Linked DNA regions of Lonchura striata. The protein of the gene in region 2 purifies or fractionates together with the protein of the main gene of each other region. This does not show direct contact. Links are inferred from orthologs where the notes say so. Each region holds a gene or a part of one and is shown on either strand. Other genes may lie near its edges.

What was found.
Region 1: the proteins of EXOC8 (region 2) and EXOC5 purify together in Homo sapiens (affinity purification with mass spectrometry; 5 studies listed by BioGRID and IntAct, counting the BioPlex papers as one, with this or other methods). This does not show direct contact. The link is inferred for Lonchura striata from reciprocal best matches to the Homo sapiens genes EXOC8 and EXOC5.
Region 3: the proteins of EXOC8 (region 2) and EXOC7 purify together in Homo sapiens (affinity purification with mass spectrometry; 4 studies listed by BioGRID and IntAct, counting the BioPlex papers as one, with this or other methods). This does not show direct contact. The link is inferred for Lonchura striata from reciprocal best matches to the Homo sapiens genes EXOC8 and EXOC7.
Region 4: the proteins of EXOC8 (region 2) and EXOC2 purify together in Homo sapiens (affinity purification with mass spectrometry; 7 studies listed by BioGRID and IntAct, counting the BioPlex papers as one, with this or other methods). This does not show direct contact. The link is inferred for Lonchura striata from reciprocal best matches to the Homo sapiens genes EXOC8 and EXOC2.

Annotation. Positions count from the first base shown.
Region 1 is NC_134608.1:4,354,803-4,362,040, reverse strand, and holds the start of EXOC5 (exocyst complex component 5), read left to right. Parts: upstream 1-4,098; 5' UTR 4,099-4,222; coding exon 4,223-4,249; intron 4,250-7,238. UniProt on the Homo sapiens protein: Component of the exocyst complex involved in the docking of exocytic vesicles with fusion sites on the plasma membrane.
Region 2 is NC_134605.1:43,611,518-43,619,083, forward strand, and holds the start of EXOC8 (exocyst complex component 8), read right to left. Parts: upstream 3,129-7,566; 5' UTR 3,104-3,128; coding exon 1,586-3,103; intron 925-1,585; coding exon 316-924; 3' UTR 1-315. Other genes in the region: DNA-dependent metalloprotease SPRTN, read left to right, coding at 3,376-3,635, 4,755-4,854, 5,648-5,776, 6,521-6,788, 7,082-7,566. UniProt on the Homo sapiens protein: Component of the exocyst complex involved in the docking of exocytic vesicles with fusion sites on the plasma membrane.
Region 3 is NC_134621.1:4,238,900-4,246,478, reverse strand, and holds the start of EXOC7 (exocyst complex component 7), read right to left. Parts: upstream 3,151-7,579; 5' UTR 3,053-3,150; coding exon 2,993-3,052; intron 2,216-2,992; coding exon 2,150-2,215; intron 1,127-2,149; coding exon 942-1,126; intron 293-941; coding exon 187-292; intron 1-186. UniProt on the Homo sapiens protein: Component of the exocyst complex involved in the docking of exocytic vesicles with fusion sites on the plasma membrane.
Region 4 is NC_134603.1:95,192,835-95,200,771, forward strand, and holds the start of EXOC2 (exocyst complex component 2), read right to left. Parts: upstream 3,011-7,937; 5' UTR 2,929-3,010; intron 1-2,928. UniProt on the Homo sapiens protein: Component of the exocyst complex involved in the docking of exocytic vesicles with fusion sites on the plasma membrane.

The DNA.
Region 1 (7,238 bases), on a different chromosome or scaffold from region 2:
TTTATGTTCTATGTAACAAAATGCAACTACAACAGCTTTTTGCCTAGATATAGAGTCTACTATATGTAGATAGTGCTACAGCTTTGCTGCTATAACAATAATAACTCCACACTGCACATACAATATATGTGACTTAAAGCTTTTATGACTTTTTCATAATTTCATTTTATCAAGTATTTAAGATGTAACAATAATGTCATGGACAGAGGTTTTGTACAACTTAGAATTGCTATGTTGTACCAATACATATATTTAATTTCAAATTTTCTAGAGATAATATTTGAGGAATATCATATTAACTGTTTAAAACTATATCTGGGATTTTTATGTCCTGCAGTATTGTTGTTTAAAGGGGAGTGGGATGAATTTCTTTTCAAGGTAGCCTAAGGAGGAACTAAGGAGTTGACTTTTAATAAATAGCTGAGAAAATAAAAAAATATTACTTCCATGACTGCACTGGTTGTGCCCTGGTTTGGAACTGCAGACTCCCCTGAGTGTCTCTTACATGAAGTTTGCTGACAGCCTGGCTTTCCTACATTCTGTTTTGTGGATTCCCTCAGTAGTTATCCACAGACCCTCAAAGTGCCCCTCACAGGTCACACACACAAAATTAAATCACTTTATGGATCATCTTGAAGCAGATGTTCTCAGATGTTTGTTTGCACTCAGACCCAGGCTTGCATGCCAACATGGAAGAAAAAAACTGCACAGATATATAAAGGCTCTCATTTGCTGTCCCTTTTATACCGTCTTTTTTAGGACACATTGACAGCCTGCTTTCCAAACTGCCATGGAACTTGCAATCCCAGCAACGTGGGACTTTGTTTTATCTATGACCTCCATCTGCAGCACTTCCCTCCTGCTCCTGAGCACTTCCATGGATCTTATCCTCTTGCCTCTAAGTGCTCTACATCATTTTCTCTTAACTGAGTAGCTGGAGGCAACTACACTTCCTCAGGCTTATTTACCGTGACTGTGATTTTTTTTTCTTTCATTCCTAATCAGGCATCAAGGGCTTTTGGGGTTGTTTTTTTTATTTTTGTCTAAACATAGACAGGGCAAAGCCACAGCGACAAAATTCGTAAACAGGATACAGATGACAGCAAAACACCTCCCTGTGGTCCCACATTTTATTGTGAAGAGCAAAGAAACCAAGTGGGTTTACAGCTATAAAATTTATGAGGCTTTGCAGAGCCAGGGTGTTGATAAGAGGTTATGTGCAACCTTGGTGAGCAGCTCTTCTTTTTGGCCAACGTTTCCAAAACAAGGGAAGAGGAGATATTTCAGTCTGGTTTTGTCTTAGTCAAGTCCCAGTCTCTCTGCTGCATTTGCTGAAGCTGTCCCCACACCACAGCAGCCTCCTCCTCCCACTGAAGTCATTAGATCATTAGTTAGCCCTTCAAATCCCCGTTTTTCAGTATTCCCTTCTAGAAAGTGATGCAAACTTAAAAAAATAAAAAAGACAAAAGTTTCCAAGGATGAATGAACTTCGGTGACTCAAGAGGGAGACCATCCTTGTTGCCTGAATTAAGTTATGATCAGCTAAAAAAAAAAAAAAAAAGAGGGGGAATGCTTTGATGTCCCCGATGTCTTCCCTGAGGTCAAAGATCAGGGCTCACGTATCTCCAGCTGAGTGCCTAAGTCCTGAAACCAACAGTTTCCATGTGATCCGGGCATTCTTTATATTGTCTGCGTGCTTTGTTGAATTTAAGGTCAGTTAGGAGGATAAACTTGGGGCTTCCACAGCCCTATTATTTCCTCTGGGAACTTGAAAGATCTAAGTCTGGAAATCACTTGAAGCATCGAGGATAGTTTGCCCTTTTCAAAGGAGTGCTACTCCTTGTCTCTGCCGCTCACTGTGTGACAAGTCACTTCAGACACCCCTGTCAGCAGCCCCCCCTGCTCCGTGGTGATTACACTCTCCGAGGTTTTGGGGACAAGGCTTTCTCTTTATCTGTGTTTGTAGAGGGGAGGCCTCATCTCTAGTCCTGTAGGTAATACAAGGACCATAATACTAATCCTAAAACAATCAGAGGAGTGTCCAATGGAGAGATCTGTCTGCACCTGAAGATGGAAGATAGTTGTTTTTTTTATTTTTACTCCTAAGTTCTCTCTTTGCTTTTACTAAATTCAGACTAGGACTGTAGGTCACTTTATCCAGGACTTTTTTTTTTTTTTCCCCACAAACTTTCCCTAGCCCCAGTTATTTTTCTTCTCATTATCTGGCTTTCTCTGAAGTCACAGAAGAAGAGTAACAAAAAGGGTAACAAATCTTGCCAGCCCAATAACAGTAACCCGCTAAGCCAAAAGTCTTCCTTTATATCTGCAAGAATTCTGTATAAAAACTGTTCCTTTGGAGAACTCTTTAGTATTCAATAACTTAAAAATCCCCCAATAACTTTTTAAAAAAGTGTTTATATGCACAAATTAGCATCAAACAGAAAGCTGAATTTCTGTCTGAAAGTACTCTATTTTACCTACAGCTACAGAGCAACATGAAAAAAATATAAGGAAAATACAAGCAATAATATATGCTTATATATCTGTTTTGCCCATTTTTGTTAATCTGACAGTATTTCACAATCACTGCCTTGTCCTTTACCATGTTAGGAAGGAGAAGAGCTGGGCAAAATGTTTACAGTGACAAAAAAGAAAGAGGAACGGAGCAAGGAAACTCATGCAAAATGCAGAAGCTGTGAAAAAGCTCCCATATTTAGTTAAAAGCACATTATGTGACTCTGATTCTGAACTTTCTAAAATTGGAGTCAGAAATGCACAGCATCCAGCGGCGCTGGCACGAGACGAGGAATTTATTCAGTATCAGATGGTTTTGGTGGTTTTTGCATCCGTTTTGGGGGCAGCATCCTAGACCCACAGGGCAGCAGTGTCCCCCCAGGACACCCAGACCCCCAGAGCACCCAATCCCCCCAGGACACCAGAATTTTCTGCAGAGCCCCAGAGCACCCGATCCCCCCAGGACACCAGGATTTCCTTCAGGGCATCCAGACCCCCAGAGCATCTGATCCCCGCAGGACACCAGGATTTCCTTCAGGGCATCCAGACCCCCAGAGCACCCAATCCCCCCAGGGCACCAGGATTTCCTCCAGACCCCCAGAACACTCAATCCCTCCAGGGAACCAGGATTTTCTGCAGACATCCAGAGCACCCGATCCCCCCAGGACACCAGGATTTCCTTCAGGGCATCCAGACCCCCAGAGCACCCAATCCCCCCGGGCACCAAGATTTCCTTCAAGACATCCAGACCCCCAGAGCATCTGATCCCCGCAGGACACCAGGATTTCCTTCAGGGCATCCAGAGCACCCTAAACCCGCAGGGCACCGGGATTTCCTTCAGAACATCCAGACCCCCAGAGCACCCGATCCCCCCGGGACATCAGGATTTTCTTCAGGGCTTCCAGACCCCCAGAGCACCCGATCCCCCCAGGATATCAGGATTTTCTTCAGGGCTTCCAGACCCCCAGAACACCCGATCCCCCCAGGATATCAGGATTTTCTTCAGAGCTTCCAGATCCCCAGAACACCCGATCCCCCCAAGATATCAGGATTTTCTTCAGGGCTTCCAGACCCCCAGAACACCCGATCCCCCCAGGATATCAGGATTTTCTTCAGAGCTTCCAGACTCCCAGACCCCCCTCAGGAACATCCGCGCCCCCTGAGGGCATCTGCTCTCCCCAGAGCGCCCGCCTCCCTCCAGAGCACCCGGACCCCCCAGAGCATCCGCTCCCCTCAAGAACACCCTTCCCTCCAGGGCACTCGGATCCCTCAGAGCACCTGGATCCCTTCCAGATCACCGGGACTCCCCAGCCCGACCCTCGGACTGCCCAGCTCGCCGTGCCCGCGGTACCGTCGCTACCTGGAGAAGAGCACGGCGCCGCCGGCCGCGCCTGAGGAGCCACAGCGCCCGCAGGGCCATGCCGGTGGCGGTGCCGGTGGCGGCGATGGTGGCAGCGATGGTGGCGGCGATGGTGGCAGCGATGCCGGCGGTGCCGATGGCGGCCGGGGAGGAGCCGCGGCCGCGCCGTGGCCGCCCGGCGCGGCGCCATTTCCGGCGGGCGGAGGCGGCGCCGCGGCCGCCGCTGCTGCTGCCGGGGCGGGGGGACACAATGGGCGGCAGCGGCGGGGCGGCGGCGGCCACGGGGCGCTGAGGGGCCGCCGCCCTCCTTCCCTCTCTTTCCCTTTCCCTCCCTCCCTCCCTGCGGCCATGGCCACCACGGCCGAGCTCTTCGAGGTGGGTGCGGGCCCCGCGGGCGGGGGGCCGGCTCGCCGAGGGGACGCGGCGGGCTGTCGGCGGGGCAGGGCGGGCGGTGCGCGGGGCTGGGGAGCCGCGGTGCCGCCCCGCGGGGCGCGGTGCCCTCCCGGCCCCGCTGCAGCGCCTCGCTGCCGCACGGCCACGCCGGGCCCGGCCCCGCGCTGCCTTGCCCGGCCCCGGCGCGGTGGGAACGGCGGGGATGGAGCGGAATAAAGGAATAAAGAGTTTGCCCTCCCTTTACTCGAGGCGAGGAAGGGGAATAGCTCGGCCAAGGCCACGCAGGAGCAGGACGGGAATAGCAGGAGTCTGTCAGATTCTTCCCGTGGGATTGCGGAATGCCCTAAGTTGGAAGGGATGCACGAGGATCGTCTCCCTCCTGAAGGGAGCCTGCCAAAGGGATGGAGGGGGAATTCTTACAGAAATGTGTAGTGACAGGACAGGGGGAATGGCTTCAAGCTGAAAGGCTGGATATTAGAATACTACCACTCTCGACTGTGAGGGTGTTGAGGCCCTGGCACAGAGAAGCTGTGGCTGCCCTGTCCCTGGCAGTGCTCAGGGCCAGGTTGGATGGGGTTTGGATAGTGGAAGGTGTCCCTGCCCATGGCAGGGGGTTGGAACAAGATGATCTTTGAGGTCTCTTCCAACCCAAACCCTTCTGTGATTCTGTGGCTTCAGCTTCTGGCCTGGACCATGAACTCTTGTGATGTGGCCTGTGTTAAACAGAAAGTGTGGTGTCCCCACTTCCTCTTCACCCCTGTGTCATGGTGTCATCCCCAGGTGTCCTGTATTTGCTCTCCAAGTCACTCAAGAACTGTTTGTTTTTCTGGTGGGTTATTATTGGGACTCACATTGCCCAGCCTTCAGGAAAGGGTCTTCCATTTTCTCTGGAAGAACCCATCTCTGGGGTTCATGTAAATGCACTGTGTGCATTTGAGTTTGTGAATCATTGTGATGGCACACGAGTGTTATGACTCACATCTTTTGGTTTGCATAGCTTTAAAAAATAGCAGGACTAAAATACTGTGTTCCTGTGGCTGGATGCCAGGTTTTGTACCCTCCCTACACCACTCTAGGAGCCCCTTGATTTCTCAACATGATGACAGTGCCATTCTATTCTTTGTGGGGTGTTGAGTGTGAGGTGATTTGAATATGGAAAGAAAACTGTGTTTTGGCTGATTTGGGTCGTGCAACAGCTTTTTCCATTTTGCAATAGCAATAAAGATAAAATTGCAAATTAGGTGAGACTTTTGCCTGGAGATTGGGGCTAGAAATTATGCCTTTCCAACATGGAATCCAGTATTTCTGTCTCTCCCACTTTCAGTTCACTTTCACTCCAAAGGCAAGAGAGTTTTTGTTGATGTCCGCTAATTTAATGTTGCCTACTTGGTTAGTTTGAAATTTTTGCCTTATATAAAAACATAAAAATCTGCTTGTTATGGGAGTAGCCCTTAGCTGTCTGCTGAGGATGGAATTTGATTACCATATTTTCATGAGTGTGTGTTTTAAGTATATTTCAGTACAGATATGGGAACTTGTGCAGCAGGATCTGTGTTGAAAATGGGCATAACATGGACTGAATTCTCCCTCACATAACTTAAAGCATAATTTAACAGTGGATGCTTCTAAACTGGTTTTTAAACTGGCTGTGTCCAGTGTAGCTTCATTTGTAAACACCAGATCAAACCAGGTTATGACCCACTTCAGGCATATCTCTTATTAAATCAGGAGTATTGGCTGAATGGATGGGATCACATTAATTCCTCTGGAGCCAGAGGGAAGTTCAAAGCTGGAGAAATTGACTGTTGGGGCTCATCTGATAACAGGCAAAGGACTTGCAAATGACATTTGTAATAGCTGATTTTCAGCAATTTCTGCAGACCAGGATAGGGGACTTAAAATAGGAGTTAGGCTGTCAGCTATGAGGAACCCTGTTATCAAGATAGCATTTAAAAAAGCAAACGTGTATGGAAGATACAAACTAAAGTAAGAAGTTTTGGATCTGCAGTGGAACCTGGAAAATCATGTCTTAGAAAGATACTGTTGAACTTCATTTATTCTATATAAATCGAGTAGATTATTTCTAGCACACCCTCTGTAGAAAATTGAAAAGGGAAGCTCATTTTATTTCTCTGTTGATCCTGCACATAATAGCCACTGCAGTTAATATTTCTTAAATAATATAAAACACTATTTATATGATTTAAAAACTGAAGGACAGGTCTCCTGTGTAAGTATTCTTGAAAAATCAGGTATTTTCCAGGAAAGGAGGTACAGGTTTGTGTACACATGAACTCAAGGAATATTTAGAGGTATATAGAGGCATGATGGGGTGGAGAAAGATTGGCATTATAATATTGTTTTGGGTTCTGAGGCATCTACATCAGATTTCCTTAGGGGAAGAGGCTTGCAGAAAAACTTTATGAGTGTTGTTTTACAAAAATGAAAAAATATTTAAAGCCATTATATGTGTGTTGGTGAATTATCTTTTAGTATGAACATCTGGGAAAGGGAGAAATGTAGAAAATGTTATCTGCACACACAGAGTGTTAGTAAACCCTTTATTCAGGGTTCTTCCATACTTGGCTTTAGCATCCTTGTAACCAGAGTGGTACCTCAGCTAAATTACAGGATCTTCAGAGGAAAAATTGGGGATTTTCATATAAAGGAGAAGTCCTGCAAAGAGCCCTGAGGTAATTGGGAAGCTGGAAGCCTCCCCTGAATGGAATGTTACTGCACTGAATGACTCATTTCACCTGTAATTAAATTACAAAAGTGTTCCAAACTTTTAGATCTCAAGATGGCATAAGGAGGGAATTTACACTTGGCATGAAACGTGGCATTGTGGCTTTTGATGAAGAGGATTCTTGTAAAGGAAATTTCACGTTGTGTATCAGGAAGGACTTGGTTAAAGAGATGAGTGACTTGTAGGGAAATTGTTTTTATGTGGTATCAGCCAGTTATTTTTAAA
Region 2 (7,566 bases):
CTTTCACAAACAATTGGCCAAAATTTGTGTATTACAGTTATTTCCCACGTCACAAATACTACACAAGCCCTTCATAGAGGATATGCTGTCAAGGACATGTGACCTCCACCTTCTCACTTCCCTACACCCCATCCAACAAGTAAAGCATTGCATGCTTGCAGGCATTGATTCAAAGTCTTCAGCTTCTGGAATGCAGCAGATAAGAGTTCTGCATCTTTCAGGGACTCAAAAAACCCCTGTTTAGTTCATCTGTTCAATGTACAACAATCTTCAGTAAGTGCTGCCACCTTGTTCTGAGGAACAGTTAGGTTCACTTCACACCACAGAGGTGGTACTTTCCGGATTTACACGCATCAATCTTGAGGCATTTCTCAGATCCTGTAGCTGCTTGGCTGGCTTTCCAACTCCTTCCTCAAACCTTTTTTCCACAACAGGAAGGACAGTTTCATACAGGAAAGAGGCATTCTGCCTAATGAATGCTTTTTTCTCCGGGTCCTGTTCACACCGTAAACTGTAATCGACATGCTGGACAGCCACCAGGATGATTTCCACCAGACTCTCCAGGAGAACCATATGCAGCTCTGGGAAGTAAAGCTTTAACGCTTCCTCCAAGAAGGCCATAGTCTGCTTAGTGAAAGCTACTACAGTGTAACTGAGGTTGACCCAGCAGTCATCCCCCGTGTATTGGTCAAAATTGCCCACCCCACAGCTCCTCATCTCCTCCCTGAGCTTCCCCAGTGCCTCTGGAGTCATCAGGTTCATCCTTCTCCACATCTCCTCAGAGTTGCGGTGCTTGGTGGCCTCGATGATGATATCCTTGTAGCTCTGCAAAGCACCTTTGATATCCTTTACCAGAAGGGCGTGAATAATGAAGGTGAGATCCAGTCCAATCTCGCTCAGCTGCTTGCAGTGCTCTTTAGCCACCTGGGATAACAAAGAAAAGCAAAGGATGTTATTAGTGTGCAGGCTCCCTTTTCACCTTACACATTTATCAAATTCATCTCAGAAAACTGAGATGGGTTACTCATACTTGTTTATCGTGCTTTAAGAATCTCATTAATGAGAAATTAATAACTGAAAGATACACCCTGGCTGTCAAAAAAACTCTGGACAATTACACTATGTAACCCACATGCACAAACTTTTTTTCCCCCCCTCCCAATCAGCAGCCAAAAGAAAGCATAACCTGAGAAAGTTAGTCTTGCAAAAAAAGTATGAAAATGTACCTAAAGACAGCCTTGGAGAACAAAGAGAAAGTTTTGAAGTACTTATAATTCAGGTGTAGTTCATGTAAATTTTAGGACCTCCTACTAGTTACAGGTAAATTAAGAATTAACACATTTTGCATTCCTGATAAAGGCAGGGTTTTCCTTGGCCTGTATTATAACCTTAAGGATTTCCTCTGTTAAACTGAAAAAAAACCAAACAAACCTCGAATGAATATTAATCTTTCAACTCAGGAAATCTTTCTGGAGACCCACACAAGAGTCAACAACCAAACCAGAGTTAGAGACGAGACTTTAAAGCTTTGAAGCCTTTGTTTCAGCTGCTGTGCCCCACCACCCAACTCTTTGGACTCTCTTACCTTGACACACTCTGCCGCAGTTGACAAACTCTCCTTGCTATCAAACACTTGCTTACTGAAGGCGTCTACAAACATCCTCATGGACGAGCGGGCCCAGACAACAAACGCCGAGTAGCAGCCGTTGTTGCCGGCGAAGTCCGTCTCAAACTCCCTGGCCGTCTCCAGCAGGCTGGTGAAGAAGACGTGGCAGAGCTTGTGGATGTAGAGCAGCGTGGCGCCCTCGATGCGCAGCTGCCGGATGGCGGTCTGCACCGCGGCCGCCCGGTTCTTCAGGAACAGCTCGCACGCCTTGGTGGACTGGCCCAGGCGAATGAGCTGGGACACGGCCCGGCGGGTGGCCCGCGGCCCTCCGCGCAGCGAGCGGTCCGGGGACAGCTCGAACACCAGCACGTCCGTCAGCTGCCGGACGCGCTCATCCACCTTGGCCCGCAGCTCCTTCACGGGCTGGCTCGCAGGCTTGTCCGCCAGGTACTCGTTCAGCTTATCCAACAGGTCAACCGCCCCCTCGAAGTCCCGCTGGGCAATGCAGACGTCCAGGTCCTCGGGCAGCTCTTGGATCCACTCAAGTGAGAGGTCAACAACCTCCTCCTCGGCGGAGGGCTCATCCTCCTCCTCCTCGTCCTCGTCGAAGGGGTTGGTGGACTCGGGGGGCGCGGGCGCGGGCCGGGGCAGAGCCTCCTGCTCCAGGCGCCGCTTCTCGCTGAGGGCGCGGCTGCGCTTGGTCTCCTCCAGCACCTCCAGCCACTCCTTCTTGATCTTGGCGTTCTCAGCCTGGAAGATGCGGCTCTCGGGGAACATGAGCAGTTTGAACATGTCCTTCATAGGCGGGTTGTCCTTGACGTTGACCACGGCCAGCCCGTCGAGGGGGTACAGGGCGTCGTAGCGGTAGGCGCCGCGGCGGCTGGGCAGGGCGGTGGCCACGAGCAGGCAGTCGTTCATCAGGAAGGCGTGCACCCGCTGGATCTGCGCCATGTGGTCCGCGTCGTACTCCACCAGGTCGCCGTTGTACACCAGGTACTTGCCAGGGCTCTCGGGCAGGAGGTCGCGGCAGCCCTCCACCTTCTCCAGGAGGGTGGTGAGAGTGCGCTGCCGCCCCTCCTCGCTGGCCGCCGCCTCCTTGGCCGACAGCGGCAGGAAGGGGTCGGCGGCGGCGGCGCGGCGGGCGCCCAGCGCGGGGTCGTCGCGGTCGGCTTGGAGGAGCAGGGCCTGGGTGACGGCCTCCATGATGCCCTTCTGCTCGGTGAGGATGTGGCTGAGCTGGTACATCTCGCTCTCCAGGTAGCTGATCTCCCGCGCCGTCTCGATGAACTGCCGGTAGTTTTGGTAGACATTGCGCTTCAGGCTCTGCGCCGTCTCCTCGCTCAGCGCCTGGATGCGCTGCCGGTGCTCCTGCAGGTCCCGGTCCCCGTCCGACTGCTGCGACAGCTGCTTCACGTACTCCCCCGCCGCGAAGCCGCCCGACTCCAGCTGCCGCCGCAGCCGGCTCCCGCCGCCGCCCTCGCCCAGCGACAGCGCCATGTCCGCCCGGTACCCGCCCGGCGACACCCGCCGCGCCTGCGCCCCGCGGCCGGAGCGACTGCCTGCGGTGACGGGATGGGGCCGCGCCGGCGGAGGCGGAGCGGAGCAAGCGAGGAGAAGGGAAGGAAGGGAAGGGAAGCGGCGCAGGGATGTGCCGGCCCGCGCACTCGGAAGGACGCGGCGGCGGCGCCCGCGGGGCGGTGCTGCGCGTGCGTCGCGGCCGCTGCGCGTTCCGGTTGCGCTCTGTGCCGGCCGACGGAGCCGCGCTCGGGATGGAGGACGAGGATTTCCTGTTGGCCCTCAGGCTGCAGAGGGACTGGGAAGAGCAGGACGAGGCAGCGGCGGCGGCAGCAAAGCGCCCTGATGTCTCTCCGTACGGCTCATCCCTCCGCCCGCTGTCGGTGGTGGACGAGGCGTGGGAGCTGCTGGACCCCAGCCCGGACGTGCACGGCCTGTTCGTGCACTTCAACCAGACGCTCTTCTGGGGCAAGCTGGAGGCTGTCACGGTGTCCTGGAGCCCCCGCATGACCAGGTGCGGCAGGGGGATGTGGGCCGAGCTGCCGGGGCTGGGCTGTCCCGGGCCGGTCCGTGTGTCCGGGAGCTGCCGCCGTGCCGCCGCCGCCGGCGTGCGCGGTGTCGGCAGGAGCTGTCGCTTGTCTGTGCTGCTCCTCGCCGTGCCCCGCTAGCGCCCTGCTGGTGCCGTGGCTTCTCTTCCCGGGCACTCGGATGTTCCGCAGCGCCGGCAGAGCCCGGACGGCGGGACGTGAGTTGGTCGCCGTCATTGTCTCCCTTGCCTTGCATCTGTCGTCCGTGGCAGCCACCAATGGCTTTCCACGGGATGCAGGCAAGCTGGAGGGATGTTAAATGGAAGAAATTACTTGGTCTTAGATGATGTGTATGGAAGCCTCACATGCTCGTGTTGCTGCTCTGGTTCTCAGTTTTTATGATAGTTTTACTGCACAGCAGAAGGACAAATATGAACCAATAATAGTATATTAGAAAAATTTAGAATGGGCTAGGAAGGGGAACATAGAAGAAATCTGAGGTTAAACAAACCTAGAAATCTTTAAAGTGCAGGCTGCAGTTCTGCAGCAGATGCAGTTGCTAGCAGCTGGAAGTCCCACCACCTCGTATCCTCTGCTGGCTGCGGTATTCTTTAGACATTTGGAAACAGTTGGATGTTGCACCGATTGAGGGCTAACTCAGTAGGACTAACACAAACAAAAAAAAGTCGTGTTTGCTGGATTAGTGCACAGAAGTGGAGGTATATGTAGGTTCAGTATGAGCCAAAAGTTGATGAAGGGTGGGGAGTAAAATTGAAACAACTGCCAATTAAGTCTGCATTTGCTGCCGTGAATCTCCAGCCTCTGTGCAGTGTATTTTAGTTCATCACAAGTTCTAAAGGAAACATTCTTCTACCTTAAAAACCAGGTTTTTCTACTATAAGGAACTTGTGGATATTTTCTTTCTTTGCTTAATGATGCTGAATTTTTCAGGTAACTACTCAAAGTGATTTTATTCCATGTTCTGAGTGACCTAGCATGTGTTTACAGGGGATGGCATTCTGACTTAAATTCTCTGTTTTCTTCATGTGCTACAATGAAGAAAGAAACAAATACATTTTTGTATTTTCTTTCTTCTTTCCTTTCAGCTCTGCTGGTATCTGTTCATATCACAAAAGTAGTGGGTTGTGTTCCATTCGTCTCAGTGAGCCGCTTCTAAAGTTACGGCCGAGGAAGGATCTTGTGGAGGTATTCGAACATGGCTTATGAATCTGCACGTGAAGTGTTTTGTGCACACCCGCCACTTCATACAAACATTTTAGATTTCATAGTGGGATTCTGTTATGCAGTAACTTATAGGTCATAAAATAGCACTGGCTTTACTGTTACATTCATGTGGCTTGTGTTGCAGTACCATGGTAATCTTTAGTTTTATGTTTCTAAGTGGGCAACTCCCAGTAGAAGTCTTAAGTCACTTGTTTATTTTATTGACTTTATATAGAGAAAATAACACCCCAGGCTTTTAACTCCAAAATTATCCTTTAATATTCAAACCAAACATGGACTATAGTTTTGAAAGGGCCAACAGCAGAAAATAAGGATATAGGTTATGACTTAACATGACATTTTATTGCTTTTGGGCCTCTGCCAGAGTTGCTGCTTGGAGCTGGCTGAACATTCAGATTTGCCTAACAACAGAAATGCTGTAGAATTTCAGCTTGCTCAAAATGGCTCTTTTTGGGGGCTGTGTAGGGGATGATGTCTTTAAAGATCCAATTTAAATTTGAGGATTATATCTCCTTTTTGGAATGCTGCTTATGGAAGTGATATTATGCAGTGTGTTTTAGTGATGTGGGAATAGGGGTAATTTGGTTTGATAGATCAAAGTATTATGTTTTTATGACCCAGACTGAGTATGTGAATAATCAAAGATAAGATCAGTAACCACAATCAATGTAGAAGAGTACAATACTTGCAGCTTAATAATGAAACTGAAAATGCAATGCTTTTCATTGAATATCTAATGGTTGCATCATTTCAGACGCTGTTGCACGAAATGATCCACGCCCTGCTCTTTGTTACTCATAACTACAAAGATCGTGAGTCCCATGGACCTGAGTTCTGCAAGCACATGCGTCGTATTAATCTCCTGACTGGAGCCAATGTCACAGTAAGAATAATCCTCTTCACCTTCTTTAATAGAGCTTTCTTCCTGATTTGCTGTTTTGGTTGACTGGTGCATATTAAGTAATGTTCTTATTAGACACTCCACAGTTGGTACCAATACAAATTTGCATCCAAGTGTATGCTAGTTCCATAGTTATTTGTTGGGGATGGTGGTGGAAAGAGGTTGAGGAAGATGTGGTGAGCTGTTAGTCATGTAATTTTCAGGTATGTTCTCTGTAAGAATTTTTCTTTAAGCTTTTGTGGTAAATTAGAAAGAGCTTAAATGGTAGCAGGGACAGAAGTGCTCCATGTGAAGAGCAGTCAAGATTTATGTCAATAGAGGGTCAATATTTCTGTCAATATTTAAAAATAATGCATCTAATAAGATCAATTAAGGTAATAACTGAAAGGAGAATACAATACTGGTATTGTTTGAAATGCTTTCTAAACAGTACATCTTCTATGTGAAATTGTAGATAGATTTCCAAAATTATCTTTTTGCAGTTCCAACAAGATAACCAGGACATATTCCTACGCTTCCTATCTTTTTTTTAAAGCATTGTTGATAAATTTTTACTCAGATCTAGCTCTTAACTGCTAATATAAAAATCACAGCAGTAGTGGAAGGAATTGAATGGAAACAGATTTTTTTAAAAAACATTTTAGAGCTAGTGATATAAAATTTGTAACTTCCTGAGTGACTGTTCTTTTGTGGATTTTGTTTGTTTGTTTGTTTTTCTAAATGTAGATCTATCACGATTTTTATGATGAGATTAATGTGTACCGCCAGCACTGGTGGCGGTGCAATGGCCCCTGCCAAAACAGAGCGCCTTACTTTGGATATGTGAAGCGCTCAATGAACAGAGCACCCTCTGCACATGACTTCTGGTGGGATGAACATCAAAGGACGTGTGGGGGCACGTTCACAAAAGTGAAAGAGCCAGAGAAATTCTCGGAGAAGTCCAAGCAGAAAACTCAGGCAGCAAAACCTCCACATTTCAAGTCAACTAATGAAGGTATTTTATGATTTTTTTTTTCTTTTCTGAACTGATTTTTGTCCAGAAGTTTTCTTGAACAAATATGGACCAAACACTACATAAGCTTGGTTTTGATGTTACTGTTATGTAGCCAAAGAACAGGGCCTTTTGTTTTTGCACTTCTAGGCTGCTCCTCAACTGTATTGTCTACAAAATGTTTAGTTTGACGCATTATTTTCAAGCAGCAGATTTTTTTGTGTGAAGCACTTCAAATAATAAGCCCATGACTTTTTAATGAAAATATTAATTTATTTTTTAATCTGATTTTGCAGGCAAGACACAAATGCATGGTAATTGCAAAGACTTGACTCCTTTTAGTGGAACGGGACATCGGCTTGGAGGAGGAGACGGTGTACTTTCAGAGAAAAACACAAATGCCATCAGCTCCACTGCAAACAGTGAAGCACATGGCTCATTGCATCATTCAGCAGTAAGGACATCACCAATCCCTAAAAACAAGATAAAACTGGAAAAATTACCCCATGGCAGTATCTTTCTGCTTCATACCAAAGGTGCTGGTGAGAAGAGCAGCTTAGCTTTAAAGAGTGAGTTTCCAAAACTCTCTGCTGCTCACCCAGAAGATGATGAGAACGACTGTGGATTGCCTGCTAGGATGGCTCGTGCTGCCGAAGAAACATCAAGCCAAGGCTCACCAGTTGGCAAGAGGGCTATGCCATCTTCTAACTGGTCACCAAAACGAATTTGTTTGGAGCAGACCCCAAGAGCTCAGGGTGCATCTGAGAAAAAAAGCTTAGAA
Region 3 (7,579 bases), on a different chromosome or scaffold from region 2:
TGGCATAAGAGAGAGAGCAAAATGCCAGGAGCAGAAATTCTGCCTAGAAGCCAAAGCAATCATTCCTTCAGCTGTGCCCAAACACCACCTTCCCCAGGCAGCAAACCCACAAGGGACAAGCAGGGGACAAACAGCAGGGCTGTGTCTGTCCCCCTCTCATCCACAGGTTCCAGGTCCATGACCCACCACACGGTTCAGCTCCGGGCTGTCGGGGTTGTTGTCCTGGAAGTATTCCACTGCCTTCTGGATTTTGTCCATGCAATTCAAGTATTCCTCCAACCTCCCCGTGGGGCTAAAAATAAAACCAGAAATAAAAGGTAGTGCCCTAAGAAACAAACAAACAAACAAAATAACACGAAAGCAACAGACCAGACTTGGGATAAAAACAACAATCCCCTTTTCCTCAGCTAGGAGGAATTCCCTTCTGCCTGCACTCAGTGCCACAGCAGGATACCCAACCCACACAGCAAGTGCAGCAGCACTGGTGATGGAGCAGCACACAAGTCTCAGCCTTGCTTTCCTCTCCCAGACAGGCCCTGATGGAAGGCAGAGGGAACTGCACATCCCATCTCAGACAAGAACCATCCAACACCCTCCCAGACAAGGAGGCTCCAGAACAGCTCTGGTACATCCTGGATGTAGTAACAACTTCAATGGGCAAGGAAAAGCTTTGGGAAAAGATCAGAAGACAACAGAAAAGCTACCGCTGCTCATGGAGATTGCAATGGGAGCACCTCTGAGAGATCTGGAAGAGATCCCAGTACAGAGTCTGAGCTGTCTTTGCCCTGTGGAAATGGCTGAATGTCAAGCCAGTGTGGACTGAGGAAAGAATGTGGGAAGGGTACCAAGCATACCAAGGGTGTGTGAAGTCAGGTCCCCCACCTCTATCTCAAAAATCCAACAGGATGAAGCTCCCAGCAGGATTTATCTGCTCAACTCACCCTTCCTTGATGATCTTCTCTGTGTCCTTGGCCACATGGTAGTAACTGATGACGTGATCCAAGCAGGACAGGGTCTTCTCCACGTTCTCCTGCAGGCGCTGCAGGTTCTCTGTCTGTTTGTGGACAGGGATGATGGAGTTCTCCAGCTTCATCAAACGGCTCTCAAAGGAGGAGAGGATTGAAACCTACACACCACGAGAGAAACCAACAGCTCAGGACTTCCTTCCTATGGAGTGGGGTAGGAATTAGAGCAGGGAAGTCAGGGATCTTCAAGGCCTAGCTTTTCTTTTTGGGCTCTGCTACTAATTTGCCATGGTTCCTTAGCAGCTGTTTCCACCCCTCTATGTTCTAGTTTTTACTAACAATCACAAAACAGATCACCTGCCATATAGGGATGGGCCAATCCCAAAAAGTGAAGATAACGTTCTAAGACAGAAAAAAGGACAAGCAAAATTTTATTCACCAACAGAAAATAAAGCCGCAGAAACTTGCCTGGAGGTGCCCCATGTAAAAAGAGCAGCAAAATCACAAACCAGCAGCTCCTTTGCTCCACAGTGAGACCCAAACAGGAGCTGCACAAGTACCAGTCTAGTGAGAACCTTCTTTTGCACCACAGACATTTGGTTTTTAAAGAGGATCGTGACAGTGCTGCTGACAGGAGGAAAACCAAAGCAAGCTCATAAAAGGGTGCCTCAGAATCATCTTTTCTAGGCTCAAAGGTAATTCCTACAAGACTCACTCCTGTGTCATGTTTTCCACACTTCTCTGGTGGTGCCTCTATGACTTTTTTAAAGCACTGAGACCAAGACTGGACATAGTATATAAACTGAGGGCTTATAAGCAATTACAACACAATAATTACTTTTTATCTTTGCACAGAACACTCGCAAAATAAAACTCCAAACAAAACCTGAATTATGAAACAACAACATGATGCTGTTTATCTGAGGTTTCTTAATACTTTTTCCCCAAGAGAGAGGACTGATTGTAGCAGAGATGAGGCCAACAGCTCATCTGAACCCTCAGCAGAGCAGGAGAGAAGCTCAGTATTGAAGCATTTCTCAGGTTTCCCCTTTGCCCAGTCACTGAAGTCCAAAGTGGTTCATTGCTCCACATCCCTCAGATGGGCATCACAACAGCCTTGAAAACTCATAAACCTAAAAACCTAAGAAAAAGTAAAGCCAGGCCCAACATAAGGACATCCCTACCATGTTCTTGGTGAGCTGGTCACTCTTCTCAAGGCTCTCTTTGATAAAGGACAGAGTTTCTTCTTCCTGCGAGTAAGATGAAAAAGAAATTACTCTAAAATTCTGAACACTAAGGTTTAAGTCACTAAACAGCACACACAGGTTTTTACCAACCTTGTAAACTCTGCTGCAAGCCATGTTTGGTCTGATGCTGATTCTGTGGCCACATTTTAATATTACCACCTCTTAACAGAAAGCAGGGCAAGTAACCCAAGGTGGGGACACATAATGTAATGAGCCAGGAGGTTTATGAATTCACTGTTTCCCTTTATGGGCATTAAAGGGAAACACAGCACAAAATAAAATGAACACTTTTCCCATTGAGGCACAACGACTCAGCACACATTTCCCTGCCACAGCACAACACAGGTGCTGCACCTTCCAAACACACCGGGAACTCAAGTGTCCGATGCAAAGCAGCCACCAAGGGCTGGTTTTAAGTCATTAAAGCCCACAGATGGTGGAGGGACCCCAAAGCCCACAGGCAGAGGGGAATGGCAGCCTGTCAGGACAGAACCTGACTGTGGGGAGAGCCCACCGACCCTGCCGAGAACGCAGAGGGGAAACCCAGGCCCACAGTGGGGAGCAGAGATACCCCCATTCCTGCAAACCAGGCCTTGAAGAGGACCTGAGGGTGCTCCCAAGCCAGCAGGGGGATGATGAGCGCCTTGAGGGGTCCCGGGACGCCCCCAGGCCCGGTGAGGACCGCCAGACCCAGCCTCGCCTGCCCGGCAGCGCCAGGGGGCTGCGGGCCCGGCCCCAAGCCCCGGCAGCGCCCGCAGAGCGCCCCAAGCCCACCCCCACCTGCTTGAGCTTGTCCTCGATCTCCCTCCTGCGGGCCGACACCTCCTCGCTCGGGATCATCGCGCCGCAGCCGCCCCGCCGCTCGCTCCCACCGCGCCCGGCCCGTCACTGCCGCGCCGCCATGACGGGCGCGGCGGCGCGCACCGCGCATGCGCAAAGAGCGCCGCCGCCATCTTGAGAGTGGCGCCGAGCGAGAAGGACCCGCGGGGAGCGGCGGCGCATGCGCATTGCCCTGCCCGCGGCCATGTCGGGGGTGGCGGGAGGGGCTGCGCCGCCATCTTGGGAGTGGCGCGATGGGTCACAGAACCCAAATCAATTAATTTGGGTTCCCAGATCCTCGGGTCCAGCCCGTGCCCCCACACCCCCTTGGCAAGCAGAACATGGCACCGAGTGTCACGTCCAGGCTTTAACATCTCCAGGGACAGTGCCCCCACCACCTCCCTGAGCAGCCCGTTCCATTGTCTAATCACAATTTTTGTGAATAAATTCCTCCTCATCTCCAACCTAAAGTTCCCCTGGCACAGCTTGAAGCTATGTCCTCTCGTCCTGAGCGTGGCACTGTTGCGTAAAATTTTCTTAAGAGAGGATGTGCTTTGATGTTTGATCTTTGTGTACTTTCAAGCCTAATGGACAATAAAGGAGATTTAATCCAGGAAAGACACAGCAGCCAACAAGTTCTAAGTGATGTGCAGGTGTTAGAAAAACAAACTGCATATTGGTAGAATTGCCTTGTTATGGTTTAGGGTTTGACATTTTTAAATTATCTCGGGGTAGGCTAACAAAGCTTGGGACAAGGATGTGCTGATAGTGGGTACAAAAAAGGCAGAATTTACAGGCCATGAGGACATTTGACAGAACCCCCAAGATAAGGAAGGAACTTATAAAACAACTCAGCAATTAGGATAAATCAGCTCTGACTAACTGTAATTTCAGCAGGGGCAGATCCAAGGAACCCACCAACCCAAAAGAAGAGAAGGACTGAGCACATGGACTAATTAGCGTGGCAAACAAGAGAATAATTTCCCAACAGAAGATAGAATAATAACAATCATTAATAGGAGAACTATGTAACTTGCGGCCAATTAACACAAATTCCTTTGCTAAAATGCATAAATAGTAAAAAGTTTTGACCGTGGTAATGGCTTGATTTGTGGAGTCCCAACAAGCACCCAGGTTTCTTCAGCTCTGAAATAAATAATCAGCGTCTCTCTTGAGTGTGTCATAATTGGTTTATTGCACTGGGGGTAACAAATATGAATTTGTGCACAACAGATGTGGAGGAGGCCAGGGGTTTGAGCTCAGGAAGGTGAAATTATAAAAATGTGAGTGTGAACTCCTGCACCCTTAGGGAGAAAGGTTATCCCACGGGAGAGCACAGGGGGGATGGCCGGGGTGTCACACCCTGGGGGCTCTGCATGTCCCTAAACTACCCAAGCCCAGAGCAGGGAGTGTTTCTCCAGCACCTGCAGGTCCTGCAGCCCCAGCTCCCGCTGCCCTGCCCCGCTCCAAGGCTCCTGCCACACGCAGGGACTGGTGTGTGCCCATCCATCTTCCCCTTGTCAGGCCACCCCGAGCTCCAGAGAGAAGATTTTTTTTATACAACAATGGATTTCACAACCCACCCTGTCCTGCTGCCCACGCATGTGCCCAAGCTCTGGCTCTGTTTTTTCCCCTGTGTGGCCACAAACACCTGCCTGTGTTTTGTGGGGATACCTGGTAAAGGGGATTTGGGGGTATAAGAGAGGAGATCCCTGTCCAAGCTCAGCACCCAGCACCTTTTGTGCTTCCCCACACTGGGCTGGTGTGATTGGGAAAGATCTTTCTCCCAGAAGAGCAGATCCATATCTTTCTTTACAGAATTCCATGCTCTTTCTGCCAGCATTCACCCCTTCATTCAAAGGGCAGCCCGAGCCAGAAGGAACCTCCCCTGGGGAGCAGTTGTGTGTGTTTTGTCCAATAATGCTGTTTCTTTCCTGAAAACCCACCCAAAAGGACCCCTCACCCCTCATGGAGCAACAGTCCCTTAGAGCAAAGTCGGAGAGATACACCCACCCCAAGTGCCAGCTGTGTGGGATGTTAAGGAGTGAATAAACATACAGAAATAAATGCACAGCATTGTGTAAAAACTGCTGGACTCTGTGCAAACGTGAGGTGCAGCAGCACATCTAAAAGGAAGCAGCAGGAAAAAAAAATAATGCTGGTCAAACAGAAAGAGTCCAAGGGGTTATTTTGGGTAAAAGGAAAAAGAAAGGGTACAAATGCTGCAGTTTGAGCTGATGCCTCAGGTTTTAGCTTTTCTGGTTTTCAAGGTTCTATTCTGCTTTAGTTTGTAAGTGCAGGTTTCATATGAGGGGATGGTGAGCTTTCTGTACAGAGTAGGGAGACAAAACAAATCTTTCCCCAGCTGGGGACCAAGGACAAATCATCCAAATCTCAGGCCCAAGAGATGGAATGAAGAGAGAAAACAAAAGGATGGAACTTCATGAGTTAAACTCCAATCTGCAAATGGAGCAGAATTTATCAAAGTGAGAGAGTGCATTTGTGACCATTTTGGGTTGTGCTGCCCGAGGTGGATCTATTGAGGCCACTTAATAAATCCCGATTTATTCTAGTCTGTTCTTCACAAGGCATCAGAGCGTGTTCTACCACAGGGCAAACCACACGCCCGTGCTGCCAGTGCCCGCAGGACCAGCAGGGCTGCAACCGGCGGAGCGGCAGCTCCGGGACAATCCCGCTCCGTTCCCGCTCCAATCCTGCTCCAATCCCGCTCCATTCCCGGGACAATCCCGCTCCAATCCCGCTCCAATCCTGCTCCAATCCCGCTCCGTTCCCGGGACAATCCCGCTCCAATCCCGCTCCAATCCCGCTCCAATCCCGCTCCGTTCCCGGGACAATCCCGCTCCAATCCCGCTCCAATCCCGCTCCAATCCCGCTCCAATCCTGCTCCAATCCCGCTCCGGTCCCGGGACAATCCCGCTCCAATCCCGCTCCGTTCCCGGGACAATCCCGCTCCAATCCCGCTCCAATCCTGCTCCAATCCCGCTCCGTTCCCGGGACAATCCCGCTCCAATCCCGCTCCAATCCCGCTCCGGTCCCGGGACAATCCCCCTCCAATCCCGCTCCAATCCCGCTCCGGTCCCGCTCCAATCCCGCACCAATCCCGCTCCGTTCCCGCTCCGTTCCCGCTCCAATCCCGCTCCGTTCCCGTTCCAATCCCGCTCCGTTCCCTTTCCAATCCCGCTCCGTTCCCGCTCCGATCCCGCTCCGTTCCCGTTCCAATCCCGCTCCGTTCCCGCTCCGTTCCCGTTCCAATCCCGCTCCGTTCCCGCTCCAATCCCGCTCCGTTCCCGCTCCAATCCCGCTCCGTTCCAGTTCCAATCCCGCTCCAATCCCGCTCCGTTCCCGTTCCAATCCCGCTCCAATCCCGCTCCGTTCCCATTCCAATCCCGCTCCGTTCCCGTTCCAATCCCGTTCCAATCCCGCTCCGTTCCAGTTCCAATCCCGTTCCAATCCCGCTCCGTTCCCGTTCCAATCCCGCTCCGTTCCCGCTCCAATCCCGCTCCGTTCCCGCTCCGTTCCCGCTCCGTTCCCGCTCCCTTCCCGCCCCGTTCCCGCCCCGTTCCCGCCCCGTCCCCGCTCCGCTCCCGCCGCCGCTCCCGCCGCCGTCCCGCGGGCTCCAGCCCTGCCTGCCGCTGGACACGGGAATGAATGCCGCCGCTTCCCCCGCCGGACAAGGGATTTCCACTGTCAGCACCGGCACAAAAGGTGGGAAATTCAGCCAGCTGTGAGAAAAGCCTGTAGTAAAACAAGAAACACTTCACAGTTACAGATTTCTCCAAAGAACTACCAGTCATAAAGAAACTGAGAGCCACAAAAAGCTATTTTTTTTTCTTTTAAAGAAGTCTCCATAACAGTAACAAGAAGGTTTCTCTCCCTAAGTGAGCTTAAAAAAGACTGTTTTAGAAGTAATAAGCTGACTAAAATGTAAAGTTTTATTCCCTAAGTGAGCTACAAAAAGACTATTTTAGAAGTAATAAGCTGACTAAAATTTTAAGTTTTATTCCTTTACATTATCAGTAAAAAAAAAGTTATTGAGAGAAGAGAAATACTCTAAAGGTTTTGTTCTAATTCTTATTATGCTTTCTTTCAGTTTTATTATTATATATTATTACATATTATTATATTATATATTATTATATTTTATTATATATATTATTTTATTAAATTATGTTAATTATATTATATTATATTATATTATATTATATTATATTATATTATATTATATTATATTATGATGTTATACTGTTATATTATTATATTTTTTATATTTTATTTTTTAATATTATAAGTTTCTATCATTTTTTTATACCCATTTAAAGTTTTAAACCTACTTTACTTTTCTCCTAATCCCACCTCACAATAGAAAATTAGTACATTAGGGATTAACCAGCGCTAAACCCACCACACTCAACACTACATTAGCCAAAAAAAATCTCAAAACTAACAAAATCTCAAATTAGCAAACCAAAACCACTGCAGTGCCTGACTAAGGATCGCATCCTCAGTGCAGTGCTCGCTTGGGGGTTG
Region 4 (7,937 bases), on a different chromosome or scaffold from region 2:
CACTGTAACATCTACAGTCCTCTGAGTACTATTTTCCAGTCCCTGACTATAAAATGAAGTCCTTCTGACTTCTCCTGCAGAAGGTTTCATTTGCCTGTTTGTATAAATAAATAGTGACCTACAGGCATTCAAAATACATGCAGGTAGTGTCTGCATGTGCTCCACAGCTTTTGTCCTGGTGTACAAAACTCTAACTATATATTATTTCATGGATATTTTCCATAGTTGTCAGAATCTATGTTTTAAGAACACATTTTATATTCATTCTTCTGTCACCATCCTCTCAAGAGAAATACTTTTATCTTTACATTCTTGCTTTTTTTTTTTTTTAAGTGCAGTTGGAAAGCCGAAAATTGCAGAATAAACAGAATTAAAATAACTCAAAACTGATTAAGTTTAATTTCAAGTACAGTGATTAAGACTTACTGAATTTACAGCTAAATATACCACTGCATTGAAAGAAATTGATTAAGTATGGTTCAACATAACATATCTGAAAGTTTTGATTAATAAATGAGGTCAGTGGCCTCTGCCTTTCTAGTCAACCTACTTATTTTGCTTTAGTCCAGCTTCTCTGGGAAAAGCAGCATAATAAAGAATGGACTGTATTAGTGGATACAGTTTCTTTCTAATAGGACCTCAGGAAAACAACTGGCAAATTACAGATTTTCATATCTTTACTGTCCAGTTTTGCCTCAAATGCTCTCAACAGCTGGCATAAAACCCATGCTCACTCTCACAAGAAATCCTACCATTTTAGATTTCTTTTACTGTTCATGACTTAGAACTTTACTTTTTTTTTTTATTATTCATTTGGAATTTCATTAACCTAGACCTGCTTAGCTCTAAAATATGAAAAGCAATTAGAGCATTAAAAACAACCACAAACCATCAAGTCCGTAAAAACATTTTCATTTATTGAATGAAGACCAGAAAAATACAAGACAACTTTATATTTTTTTTTTAAAGCCAGCATAAGTCTGATGGATAACAATCTTTTAATTAAATTGCTTCACCTCTGACACATCCTAAAATATGTTTTCCATAGAGAAAACCACCCTTACCATTACAACTTAAAATAATTTTCACTCAGATAAGTCCAACCAGTATAATGAAAATAACCGCATCTGTTTTAAAGGACCTTGCAGACAACAGACATTTCATCTAAATAAAAACAGTTGTCCAAAGAGTGGGCATAAACCACAAGCACTAAGCTATCCATAGGAAAGAAATCAGCAACAAGATATGCCTCTTGCTGCTTGTTGCTAGGTCAGTGCAAGCTGGGATAAGATACGATAAAAATAGGGAAATAAGATTTATAGTGCATTCCTGCTTCAGGTGAGCAAAATGTAAAGGAAGAAATCAGACCTGTTTTTCTAAGCCACAAGTTTGTTTATTTACAGTCCTTTAACTGTTCTGACAACTTCACCATAAGCAAAACAAAAACATCAAAAGCAAAAACAAAGAAAATGTTTATAACAGTGAAACGCAAAGAGATCACTAAAGGAGAAAGAAGACTGTTTACTTGTTATAAGAATGATCAGAAAATCTGGAAAACTGAAGCGTGATTATGATTCTAACTACATTTTAAACAATGAATATTTGTAGTTTAGGTTTAATCTGATGTTCTGTCAGAGCTAGGATGGCTTAATATTTTACTGGCTTTTGACTCAGAGCTTTTGAGTCTATGGTTAGAAGCTGTTAACCTGCAATAAGTGAAGAAATTGCAGAAGGAAGACTATTTAAAAAAACAGTAGAACTGTGCAGAATGGTAAACTCTCCTCTGGGAACAAGATCATCCCAAATTTCAGACATCTGCACCTTGCTAAGAGATCATTTTCAGGTTCCTAATTAGGATAATAGAAGAGGCAAGGAGGAAAGATGTTTGGTCACCCAGCTCATGGACGCTTCTGGACTGCAAGGTAGTCCAAATGAGGCAGAAATGTAGCACTGTGTAGGAAGTTGAAAAAAAAAAAAAATCCAAGTCTCAGAGAAGCGTAATCTCTCCAGACAGAAGAATGAAAGCAACCATCTCTCAACCAGCATGTTATTTCGATTCCTCCCACACTCCTTACCCTGTTTTTTCGTATTGCATTTGCCTAGGTACTCATTCATTTTGGGCAGCTATATCTGAAACTTGATGGCATAACTAAATGCGAAGCCAAAAAAGAAAAAAACTAAAACAAAACATAAAATCAGTCCTGAAAATAACCAGCTTTTCAACAAGTCCTGCAAGTAACCAGCTTTGACTCACCTCTCTACCCTGCTCATTTCCTCTCTCCCCCACCCAGCACACCCACACTTCACTGAGCCAAACGACCCCATCATTTCACACGGGTCGGACGGGACGATGTCGGAAGTCTTTTCCAACCGAATGGACTCTGGGACTTGGCGCAGCTCTGGCTCAGCCCGTGCAGCCCGGCGCTCCCCCGGGCCGCTGTCAGACACACGAGACACAGGCAAAGGCCACGGAGCCGCTGCTGCCGGCCCTGGGGCCGGGACAGTGCCACCAGCGCTGGGAAGGGCTCCCCGGCCCGGGCCCGGCCTCGCCCGGGAGCGTCACCCGGCAGGACACCGAGTGCCGCCGGTGGCAGGAACCCCCCGCCCTGCCGACAGCGCCCCGGCAGGGGGCTGGGGAGGAGCAAGAGCTGCTGCAGCCGGGAAGGCACCGGGGGGGAGCCGGCCGGAGCCCAGCGACGCCCCCTGAGCCGCCAGAGCCGTCGCCGACAGCTCCGTCCCCACGGGGCCGGGGCGGGGACGCGACGCTCGACCCCGCCCGGGGAGCGGAAGGCGGGGGGAGACCGAAGGGAGGGGGGCAGCCTCCGCCCCGGGGAGGCGGGGGGGGGGAAGGAAAGGGAAGGGGCCGGAGCTGCCCCGCAGCGCCCGCCGGGGGCCGGGGCAGGGCCGGGGCCGGGGCCGGTCACTCACCGCCCGCCGCCGCTCGCATCCGGCACCTGCGGCCGCCCCGCTCCCGGCAGCGCCCCGCGCCCGCAGGCGCCGCCAGCCGCCGCCCGAGCGCATCGAGGGAGCGCCGAGCCACCGAGGCGGGCGGGGGAGGCCGCCGGGCCCGAGCCGCGCCCCGGCGGGAGCCGCGCCCCCGGCAGGCCCCGCCCCCTGCCCGCCTCCCCCCCTCAGTCCCGGCCCTGCGCGGGGCTCCTGAGGGCCCCCGGAGAAAATGGGGGTCGGTTCTCCCGTGGATGAGGAGCAAGGGAAGAAAAAACATATTTAATTATAACAGTCTTGACTATGGCAGTGACAACAGCGACAGGACCCTGAGAGAGCTCAAGAAGCGTTTGGACAATGCTCTCAGGCGCGTGGGGCGACTCTGGGGACGGCGCTGTGCAGGGCCAGGAGTTGGACTCGGTGATCCTTATGGGTCCCTTCCAGCTCAGCAGATTCTGTGATTCTGTGAACAAAAGTAATAAATTATAATAAAACCACCCCCAAGCACTGCGCCTATAGGCAGAGACTCGCCCAGCAGTAGTGTTGGGACTCCCAGCCTGAGGTGTGAGGGAGGCTGCCCAGGGAGGTCGTGGAGTCTCCCTCCCTGGAGACATTCCAAACCCACCTGGACATGTTCCCGTGTCACCTGCTCCAGGTGACCCTGCCTTGCAGGGGGCTTGGACTGGACGGTCTCCAGAGGTCCCTTCCAACCCCAACCATTCTGTGATTCTGTGAGGGGAGGTGCAGAAGGATGGGTGGGGGGCAAAAGCCCAGGCACAAATACTCAAGCAGTGCTGTCAGCCCCAGGTGACATAAATCTGTCCTCCTTTCATGATAAACCAGTAAAAATGTTTCTTTCCAAAACCACAGGCTGCCTATGGGAATTCTGAACACAAGTTCATTTCCTTATGGAAAGACTCAGGAGATTTCCTTTTTCACTCTTTGTTGGTATTCTTCAGTATTTGGTTGCAAAAGCCACATTCAGACAAAAAGGTTACTGGGAAGGAGAGGAAAAGCAATGAAAGAAAAAAAAAAAAAAAAAAAACCCACACCAGCAAGGAAGACTCCATTCCTAGTTATGCCAAACCAGGCCAAAGCAGGATACTAATGGGAAGGCAAATTACCTTGCATAAAACCTTAAAGCACCATAAAAAGCACCATAAAAAAAAATGTGTGGCCACACCCCACACACTTCCTAACTTTGCTTTCATAGGTTAAAGGTGCTCAGGTTAAATTAGCAGACTGGAATATGTCATATTATGAATAAGCAATACATTTCTGACTCTTTCCTCTTCTCTGTAAAACATTATGCAATATCTTTCTGGGGAAAAACAAAAGCAGATGGTACCTGTCTTTTCTATAAGTTTCCGCAGTTATAACTAGTTACTGCGGTTTTCTGCTGAGATCCAATACATAAAAAGAGCTCCTTGGTTCTCCAAGAAAAGAGAGAAATAAAATATTAAAAAAAAGTGCAACCGTTTGCCACCCAGTTCAAAATTATATTTTTTCTCCATGACAGCTTGTTTGAATTTTCTCATTGAATGCCTGTCATCAGATGTGCCAAAGAAAACCACTCTTTGAGAGGTTTGGTGGATTCAGAAGGCCCCACCCAGCACACTGCATACCTGGGCCCCAGCCCAGTGCCCTCTGAGAGGGGACACCTGTGCCCAAAAAGCCCATTGACTTTTGTGGGAGTCCATAAAGGGAACTATGTACCCAGAAGGTTTTGTAATAAACAACCATGAGTTTAGATTTAGTTCAAGTGATAAATTTCAGTGCCAAACTATAGTTCGGTTACAGATTTGATCGAATATTCACCTCTGTTGTAAGTGAAAAGACCCTAAATAGGTGAATCATTAAGAGGGAACATGAACTTGAAAAGTGTCAACCTCTCCAGTGTTAAGCCCCCAAGTGAGGACAAGCTGACAGATCTTTTGCTTGTGAAAATATCACCCAGCCTTTAGAGATTTTAAGCTGCTATTTCTAAAAGGCTTCTCAGCAGTATTTTTATGCAGATCATGGTCCTTGGGAATTTGTCAGAACAGCACAACTCCTGCAAGAACAGAAGCCTTATAAATGACTTGTGTACCTTCTTCACTGGCATCCACACAGGCAAATCCTCCTATTTCCACAAGCAGCATGCAGGAATCATATGATCTATAGGGCCCTGGATAATACTGTCAATGCAGAACTTCCTGTGTGGTGCACTTTGTTGAATCTGCTGTGGGTGGTTTCCCCAGCTGATGTTTAGTGACCATCACCTACCCCTTCAGTGACACCAGAACAAAGCTGACAGTGACTGACTGCAGATGTGACCCTCTGGAGAAAAGAAACACTACCCCGCATATCTCTTTGGAACAAAAGGAAGAAAATTAGTGTGGTTAAAAAAAATATATATCTGTCATATATATATAACTTATGATGTATATACCATAATATATAGTATATATTTGCTGTCATATATAATGCTGCTAATATAAATATATTACTCTATGGAACTCCAGATGCTGTTAAAGAGATTAATCTATGCAGTTAAAACTGAGGAAAGAAGTGACAATTTGTAATGTAATGACCTGGTAAATAGTAAGTGTTATACCTCATAGAGGTCACAAGAGTAATTGCTCATTCATGCCTTTTTCTAATCCATTTCTGCAGATTTGACAGTGATCTGTAAACATTATATCTCTCTACAAAGTTAGGTAAACAGATTTGAAAGCCAAAGAGATTATTATGATCATCTTGTCTAACCTGAATATTGAAAGCTGTAGAATTTCCTCCAGCCATTCCCACAGCAAGGTCTTTCTGTAGCTGTTTTTTTAAAAAAGGCATCTTCATTTTATTTCAAAGAATAAAATTTGTTATTTATTTATTTTTGAGAAATGGCCAATCCATCATTGCACTTTTGAAGATTTCTCAGTGGTTATGCTAACATGTACCACACTACCTTAATGTGTAAAAAAAACTTGATTGAAATATAAATGTTGTTTGAAAAGGTAAATTCATCTAGCTGCAGCATCTGTCCATTGCAAGCCTGCTTCTTGTTAACAGAAATATCTTCCTTTTGAAGATGTTTGTGAAATGCAGCAGATTTACTCCTTCACCTTCTCTTAACAAACTGTATGGATTAACTTTGATTCTGCACTGTATAAGTGCCTTTCCAGAACTGTTTTCTGAATGCCTTCAAGCTTACAGCTGTTGCCTAAATTTTTTTGACATGTGAACATCCAAACCAGACCTTCTCCTACTCTTGTTTAAATTTGTGAGGTGAATATTATAACCAGGGAAATCTGAGGAACAGGAAAATCCTAAGAAGCATAAGGTTGAAAATGACCTTAAGAAATCCCCCTTTCCTGTTATTTTCCATGCCCCAAGACATGATCTTTTGTTGCAACATAACTGCTTTTTAAATCTTGTTCTTAAAGGCTTCTCAGTATGGTGCTTTTGCCATCTCCTCAGGCAATTTTTCCCAGTGTTTCTCTACCCTTATCACTAGAGGTCTTTTTTCCTAATGTATGTTCTAAATAGGTCCCCTACCGGAATTTAAGTCCATTAGTGAAAAGTCTGTCTTTCCTGGCCTGGAGAACAGACTCTTTGCTTCCTCCCTGTAGCTGTCTTTTCCATATTTAAAGACCCTGTATCTTCTTTGCCTCATTATTACAAACTGTCCCATTAATAGCCTGATATTTAATGTTGTCTGGACTGGTAATCAAGCTTGAACTCCCCTGCACTCCTCTGCAGACACCCAGTGTCATTCTGGAAGCACAATTCCCCAAGCCAAGCATGATTCAGATGAAAAACTTAAAAAAAAAACCTACCCCAAACCACTAAAATTTAAGCTGTACCATGGGGTAGCAGAGCAAAATAATTGCTTTGCCTATTTTGCAGGCTGTTTCCCTGTTTCAATCCCATTTTCCTTTTTACAACAGCATAACAGTGATGACTCGTGCTTAGCCTGTGATTCACTCTACATTTTTTCCAGGCAACTATAATCCTGTTTACTTTTCCCCATCCTGTATCTGGGGAACTGATGATGCTATGTCTATTGCACCTATTGAATACCATCTTTTGTATTTTTCTTAAAAAAAATCTCCTCATAACCACTTTGTCAAATTCCCTTTGAATTCTAATTCTGTTCTCTAACACTCTTTTATTTGCTCTCTTTTTCATGTCCTCTTCAAATGTATCAAGCTTAGTCTCTACTCCATTCTTTGGATGTTTATAAAGAGTATCAGATACCTTGAGAAACCTCTTTCAATACATCTCTCCTTTTGATAATGACCCCATTTTGCTAACTCTTCCTCAGAAATAGTCTTGCCTTTTCTTACACCATGGAGCTTTCAATTTGGACCATATTGTCTTTGCTTATTCACAAGAAACATTGTCTACAGCCTTACTAAAATGAAGATATATGAATTTTTAATACTTCTCTCCTTTGTGTAACACCTATTACCTTATTTTAAAAGGAGGTCTTATTGGTTTAATAGGATTTGTTCTTGACAAATCCATGGTCATCATTATTTGTCCATCTTGTAATGCATACAGATGGTTTGCTTCACAATTGCCAAAAAAGGAACCTATCTGATTTATAACTCACCATCTTCTATTTTCCTGTGTGTACATAACCTAAAGCCTGTTTGAAATTAAGAGGGCTGCTTCCATGACCATATCGTGTCTTCTGAACTAGAAATCAGTAACCTGCCAAAGCCATGGCAGCAGAATCAGGAGCAGAGCCAAAAAGCCCAGCACGTCCTCAACTGCCCTAACAAATCTATAATCACTGCACAACCTTTCTTTGCCTTATTGGTCCCACTTCCTTTTATTTCCTTGAACCATCAATGTAACATCCCTGTGGAGGTTGGTTTCTAGAAGTTCCCAGAGATTTTATAAAAAATTCATAGAGATATTTCAATTTCCAAGTAGATTTCCTGCATTATATTTTGCTCACAAGACCAGCTGCTTTCTGCTTCCTCCTAAACTGAAAATCACCTGGATCT